Drosophila melanogaster: one gene and its partner. The protein of the gene in region 2 interacts with the protein of the main gene of each other region in a pairwise test. Each region holds a gene or a part of one and is shown on either strand. Other genes may lie near its edges. The genes, in order: CG7488 and Tmlh.

Region 1 (3,971 bases), 7.4 Mb from region 2:
TGTCCGCATCGACGGACCAGGATCCCGTGGAACTAATGCTGAAGAAGACCGGCTGCATAGAGCTTCACTACAAGGTGCAGGAGTGTATCGCCGAGACGGGCGACTGGAGGGCTTGCCAGGAGAAGGTGAAAGAGTTCCGGGCGTGCATGCAGAAGTACGTGGAGCAGCAGAGCCAGAAGTATGCCCACGTCAAGTAGCATCCTGCAGAAGTTCCTCAGCAACGGTTTGGCCTTCGGCAAGTCCACCAAACTGGCGCTGGTGGTCCGAACCGACCTAAAGATGTCCAAGGGAAAGACAGCGGCCCAGTGCGCCCATGCGGCGGTCATGTGCTACCAGAGCTCTGTGCAGGGAACCAAGCTGCAGAACGCCATTCTGCAGCGTTGGTGTCGCCTGGGACAGCCGAAGATAGTGCTGCGCGTGGACAACTTCGAGCAGCTAAACTCCCTGGAGCGACAGGCCCAAGAGTCGAACGTGGTGGCCGCCTTGGTGAGGGATGCCGGGCGCACTCAGCTGGAATCTGGGACAGCAACGGTCCTCGGACTGGGTCCAGCCCCTGCCGAAGATCTAGACAAATTGGTGGCGCATTTGAAGCTTTTGTGAACTCTTAGGTTTATGCAACGTTACAAATAAAGTACAAGTAATCAACAAGTGCTCAAGCGGCGGTCTTCTTGCCCTTGGAAACTGTAGATATAGTAAGGGACACTGCTTGGCCGAACATCTCCACCAGGTCTGATGTAACTCGCTCCGTGATCTGCCGCAGCTTGCCATTACCCTCGCCACAGATTAGGCGCTCGATTCGCGTGGTGGGGCACTGAACCTGCACGGATGTGTAGACAACATCTGCAAAGAAAATCGGAATTGAAAAGGATTTCTTTACGAGTGTACAGAAGTACTCACTTTTTTCCACACTGTAGTACTCGATCTCGCACTTAAGGTTGTAGGGTATCTCCTGCGGCAAGTAGTCCAGCAGACGAGCCCGCACACTCTCCACAATTAATGCTTCTGGGCTGGAGTCCGTATGAATGTCAGCTGGGTATTTCCAATCCCTGGGCTTAGCCTGGCCCACCAGGTAGTTCTGCATCTCCTGCAGCCCATTGCCGGTCAAGGCGGAAACAAGAAACACGTCGCTAAAATGGCTCCAGCTAGACTCCCGCTTGTTGATTCTTATTTCCTTGGCGAGAGCACTTTTTGCCTGGACTTCCCGCTTGCCAACTGTCAAGGTGTCGTTGGTGAGTGTCTTGATCAGATCCAACAGCAAACGCTTCGACTTCAGGGCGTCTATCTTATTCAGCACCAGGAAACTGGGCAGGTTGCTATACGCCTTCAGCGTATCCAAGACAGTGGGATGCAGTTCCTTCCTAGTCCAGGCATTTGAGGCATCGTGCACCACGGCGATGATGTCCGCATGCTGTATGGCATGGCGGTAGGCACTCTTAAAGTTCTGGTCCAGGTGGTGCCGACGAATCTCATGTTGCGTGACCAGGCCCGGCGTATCGTAAAAGACCAACTGCGTCTGGCCGGTGGTGTAAATGGCCGTGTTCGACTGCCGAGTGGTGTGCACCTTGGCCGAGGTGGGACACACTCGGTGGTTCACCGTGTTGTTGATGAACGTGCTCTTTCCCACATTGGGCACTCCAATTACCGCGATGTGCAGTGATCGTTGCTCCTCTCCGGGATTCCTCGATTCTGCGGGCGGTGGGCGCGTGGTCGGAGCCACTGCATCGTTGGTGTGGGCGGCGCCGGTCAAGCTGCGCACGTTCACCAAGAACAAATTGTGGGTTTTCGTGCTATTCAGCAATTTTAACGAACTGGCTAACAGATTATAGCGCATATTGCTATTTACACTGTTTACGCTAAATAAATTACGATTTACACAACAGCTTTGTATATCGATACCTCTTATCGATTGTTGGTAGTGATTTGATTAATTTAATAAATCGCCGTTAAGTCTTTTGGCGCGAAATTTGTTGCTTTAGTTTTCTAAGTTTAGAAATTATGCATTAAATTTATATTTTTGGGTTAATTATTATTAATTGCTAGAGAATATATTGCTAGAACAGCAATGCTTTCATAAACGAATAGCGTAACGTTTCTTACAACTAAATGTTCTTCTCATGTTTTTGTGATTGATTTATATATGTATACAACATAAAAAGAAAGAAAAGCTGAAAGCTGTTTATAATTCCATTTGTATGTAAATAATTAGATTTTTACTAACGATTATTATCAGGCTAACAAGTCACAAAACCGGTTTGAGAACTTGTGAGAGTCGCGCTTTTCTTATCAATTTTAATAATTTGCGTTCGAACCGCTGTGAGAATAGATTCCAATTGGGAACAAATTGGCTTTCAGTCGCTATTGAGGCCTCAACTTGGCAAGGCGAACTTAGATTATAGTTCCCCAGGAAAACCGAGCAATGTTATCGCCCCAATTTTTGATTCTAAGTTTAATCTCAGGGTTACAGCTGCTTTCCTTGGCAGATGCTGATCCCATGATAGAGGTCTTCCGATGGAAGCAGATGGACTTTTACAATCGCGGAGATGGCCATCTAAGCTCGGGCGGAAGGAAAGACAGGCCCAGCTTTTCAGGTTAGTACTCATAATATGATATTACTAGTTCTCATTCAGCAATAGCAATCTCGCGAGCCTTGTTAGATAGATTTATTGGTATTTACTTATGTACTATTTTTTTATTGTTCAACTAGCTCCGGTTGTCTTTCCTGGAAAGTATTCTCGTCGAAAGCGTAAGATTATGACCTCCCGCGATACACCGGTAGTGGTCAGCTCCCGCGCCGACAGCGACGACCCCAACGCCTCCTACATTCCGTACAATAACGTGCCCATGGGAGCCACTCACTTCCGCGGCCGCCTCTTTGTCACGATGCCTCGTCGACGGGTGGGCATCCCATCCACCTTGAATTACATCGATCTGGCCGAGGACGGATCGAATCGCAGCCCCAAGCTGCGGGCCTATCCCAACTTTGCGCTTAATCAGTTCAACGCGAGTGCGGAGAATCTGGTGTCCGTCTACAGAACCTCCGTGGATGCATGCCAGCGTCTCTGGTTTATCGACACGGGAATGCTGGAGTATCCAAGTGAGTTGGCATGTATTGACATGTAATATAAAAGATCAGGATCGATCCGTATTAATCTAATTTGGTGACCAAGAATATAAAAAACTCAATCATGATTCTCATATCCAGATAACCGCCAACAGATCCGCCGTCCCAGCATTTGGGTAGTTGACTTGGCCACGGATCAGGTGCTGAAGCGCTTCGATGTTCCGGAGAGTATAGCTGAGACGGGTCGCGGATTGGCCAGCATCACCGTGGATGTGAAGGCGGGTCAGTGTGGCGATGCCTACGCCTATATTCCGGATCTGGTGTACCGGCGCCTGTACGTCTATCACCTGCGAAACGATAGAATCTGGTCCTTCGAGCACAACTACTTCAACTTCGATCCGCTGTCCGGGGATCTCAGCATTGGCGGCCAGACCTTCCGCTGGGACGATGGCATCTTCTCAATAACTTTGGGGGCCCAGAAACTGGATGGGAGCCGCGATGCCTACTTCCATCCCATGGCCAGTACGAATGAGTTTGTGGTCTCCAACCGGGTTCTGCAGCAGGAATCCAACGCCGCACGTTCCGATCATGGGAACGATTTCCGGGTACTCGGAAGCCGTGGTCCGTCCACCCAGTCTACGATGCACGCTTACGATCCTGGGACTGGGGTGATCTTCTTCGATGAGATCCAGCGCAACGGAGTGGGCTGCTGGAAGACCAGCAAGCCCATCTCGGCGGAAAACTATGGCTCTGTGGATTCCAATGCCGAGGATATGATTTATCCCAGCGACTTGTCGGTAAGCAAATGGTTTTGGATAAAAAAGTTGAAGAAAAAAAGTTATACATCTCATCTTACTATTGCAGATTGACGAGGATGGCACCATTTGGGTCATGTCCAACTCCATGCCCA
Region 2 (3,621 bases):
ATGATTTTTGTTGCTGGTTTTCTGTATGCGATCCACTCCCCTATGACAAAAATTAGACGCTGGCCAGCAATTGTAATCGTAACTTTTTATTATGATACGTTAGCATTTGCAATCGAAATTGAATTGGAGTGGGACTCGGTTCAGAAAAAAGAAAAATATGCTTGAACAATTTGCGTGTTTTTTTCTATACGCAACGATTCTTTAACAATGTATGCTATTCCTGATATATGAACCGAATTTAAAATATGTTCTTATTTGAGCAATCAAAAGCAAACTTATATATATGCAGAAAGGATGTTGATTTAAGCCAGTATCTTGCATCGAAGTGAAGGAGTCAGCTACGAACATGTAAAGTATATATATTATTGATCAATGTTAAATGTTCTTCTATCCACAAAATAATCTCTCAGTGTTAAAGTTATCCGCATGAAACTTTCCCATTGCAAAAAGTATAAAAGTCGGTACGGACCATATAATACATAAATGATTGCTGAAGGAATATGCGGAGCACTAGAAAGTATAGAAAATAAATCATAATTTCTTAGTTCATAAAAGGTTTTAATTCGGTATACATTAGGTATTTTTCAATAAGCTTTCAGTCAATAATTCCCAGCACTCGAGCCTTGCTGAGAAAATCTGTGCGCTGCACATAGGAACCGGACATGGTACGACTTCCTGTGTATGCCTCTCGACCATGGAGCACTCTCCAGTTATCGAAAAGAACAATGCTGCCGGGACATAGCTTGAGAGCCCACTGCTGTTGCTTATCCCTGACGATTAGCAAAAGCTGGCGAAGACTGTCATAGAACTCGGCCATTTCGGCTTGAGGGATGGTATTAAACACGGCGCGATCATATACATTTAGTCTGAGTTGAACAAATTCCTGAGTCAGTGGATCCACCTGTATAATGGGGGCAGTGTGGTAGTGGTGCTCCCCTTTTTCGATGTACTCTCCAGGAACTTGGACACTGCACAGTACATCATAAGCGGCGGGATACCGGCGTTTCAGTTCGTGAACCACATGCAGACCATCAACAAAGAAATTTTCGCCACCCGATCCCGAGTGCTCAATGCAATGTAGAGCCTGTAGTCCGGCTGCATCGCAGAAATAGGTATTATCCGTATGGGAACCCAGGTAAAGTTTGGTATAAGCGGTGTCCGCGTGATCGGGGTTATCGCTAAAAGTCCACATTTCGCCAAAGAACGTTTTCATAAGGGGGAAAACTCGTCGCAGAGCCAATTCTGTCATATTCGCGGTGGGAGCCACATCATCGATAAAGACAATGCCATAACGCACCAGAGATTCAACCAGGGATCTGACTTCGTTATCACTGGAAACCAGCTGGGGCAATGGGAATCGTAAGTGCCGTTCGTTTTGCAAGATAATGCTACGATTCCATGGTGTCAGATTAGTGGACTTTGATCGCCGACCTATCAACCTCTCCAGCTGTGAGTCGAAGATAAAGTCCAGGTCATAGTTCGACTTGTGAGCATCACTCCCTAAAATGGCAGGCCAATAAAATCGAAGCTAGGTGCATTTTACATCAATTTTTTCTTACACTGCACTTGTAGATTCATCCCGTCGTATTTGACATCTAGTGGCATTATATCAGCTGGTAGATCTAAGACATCGTATCGCCTCTGATTTGTTTCGAAATTTAGACACTCCACACATCGACAATGATCACGGAGCCAAAACTCATTGATTTCTATTGATTGGCTGGTTTTCGGGTGCTTCAAAAGCAACATGTTAATGCCAATAGAACAACCGACGGACTAGAGCAGTGAAAGTGAACTAACAGCTCAAAGTTTGATTAAGTTTCAGCTCGGTTTTAATTGTACTGTTATCAGTAGGAGAGCGATTACTTTCATGCTCAAGTCAGAGATAAGAACTTATTTGTTTACGGAATAACTATAAGATTAATAAATTTATTGAATTTAAAGACAATATGTAATTATTAAGAACAACTCATGAAAGTAAAAAAATTTATAATTTAATCAAGATTGATTGAATGGTATGTTTTTGTTGCAAAGTTATCTTAGTGAATTGCTACTCAAGTTGTTGTATTTTTTATTAAAAAATCATTACTTTAAAGAAAATATAAATATTAATTTCAAATATCTTTTATTGAAAGGGATTTTTTCCCATCTCAACAGGCCAAGTAAAATTCAAATGGAAAAACTCTCTCTAAAACTAGAGATCTCTAAGTTTTTAATTCATTTTGTACCGGTTGTGTGGGAAATCATAAAAAATGAAGACTTTCGTTACTTCCTGGGCCGATGAGGTGGATGCGGACTATGTGGATGGACTGCCGCCTTCTAATGAGTACATTAAGGGCGACTTCAAGTACGTGACGGAGTATAAGTTCAACGATGATGGCAAGAAGGTGAAAGTGGTGCGAACCTTCAAGATCGAGAAGCAGATTGTTCCGAAGGCTGTGGCTCGTCGTCGCAACTGGGTTAAGTTTGGGGATTCGCGATCGGACAAGCCCGGACCCAATTCCCAGACGACAATGGCCTCCGAGGAGATCTTTATGCAATTCATCGGCTCCAAAGATTTCGACCAGACCCACGAAACCCAACTTGATCCCGGCAAGAACATCGCCAAGTGCCGCATTTGCAATGGCGAACACTGGAGTGTCAATTGTCCCTACAAGGGCACCTCGATGGATAGCAAAACCGTGATGGAAACCAAGGCCAATGCCGCTGCAGCTGCCGCTATAAGTGATCCCAGCAAGACCGGAAAATATGTACCACCCTTCATGAAGGACGGCGGAGGCATATCTGGCAGCAAAAATTGGGGACGGGGTCGGGATCGGGACGATTCGTCGGCAGTTCGCATCTCAAACCTATCCGAATCCATGACCGAGACTGATCTCGAGGAGCTGGTAAAGAAAATCGGACCACACACCAAGATGTATTTGGCGCGCGAAAAAAACAGCGGCCTCTGCAAGGGATTCGCCTACGTGCACTTCAAGTTCCGCCAGGATGCAGCTGCCGCCATTGAGGTTCTTAATGGCCACGGCTACGACCACTTGATCCTCTGCGTCGAGTGGTCCAAGCCTCAGCCGTAATGGCTATAGCCTTGTGTATTCGCTTCTCTGCTTATTCGAGAACGGAAATGAGCTGCGGTGGCAGTGAAATCAAAATAAAATTCTGGTACACCCTGCAAAATATGCGACCACTTTTATTTTTAATTTGCACACATTCGATAATTACAGAGAATATATTAATAATAATATAAAATCTATTTATTAATGTTTCGTAGTAGATTTTTTCATCTTTCAGTTGAGCAAAGGATATGAATTGAGATAGATATGAAAATTGTTAAAAACAGTCTGGTTCATTTGGGACCACTCAATTTTCGAGTTGATATACCCTTGGACATCCAAGGTGGATGCTTTTTTTAAGTGCATAAAAGAGAAAGCTCGCCTTGAGCGAACTAAAGCCGATAATGCTCCGTTTTAAATGCGATTTTTTCGCCGTGCTCCGCAGCCGTACAAAGGTGAAAGCCACTTAAATGGAAGCCAACGTGGTGCCGGATGATGATGGCACGGCGTTCCCGGCAAGAGCTGAGAAATGCCACAAGACGCTGGCCGGACCGAATGAACATTAATAATT

What was found.
Region 1: the proteins of Tmlh (region 2) and CG7488 interact in a two-hybrid assay, tested with the Drosophila melanogaster proteins (2 studies listed by BioGRID).

Annotation. Positions count from the first base shown.
Region 1 is NT_033777.3:12,993,551-12,997,521, reverse strand, and holds CG7488 (uncharacterized protein), read right to left. Parts: upstream 1,903-3,971; 5' UTR 1,832-1,902; coding exon 898-1,831; intron 841-897; coding exon 653-840; 3' UTR 601-652; downstream 1-600. Other genes in the region: CG44194 (uncharacterized protein), read left to right, coding at 1-197; CG17327 (uncharacterized protein), read left to right, coding at 181-600; yellow-f2, read left to right, coding at 2,417-2,588, 2,705-3,094, 3,203-3,858, 3,926-3,971.
Region 2 is NT_033777.3:20,406,075-20,409,695, forward strand, and holds Tmlh (trimethyllysine hydroxylase), read right to left. Parts: upstream 1,798-3,621; 5' UTR 1,750-1,797; coding exon 1,560-1,749; intron 1,501-1,559; coding exon 596-1,500; 3' UTR 541-595; downstream 1-540. Other genes in the region: eIF3g2 (eukaryotic translation initiation factor 3 subunit g2), read left to right, coding at 2,253-3,074.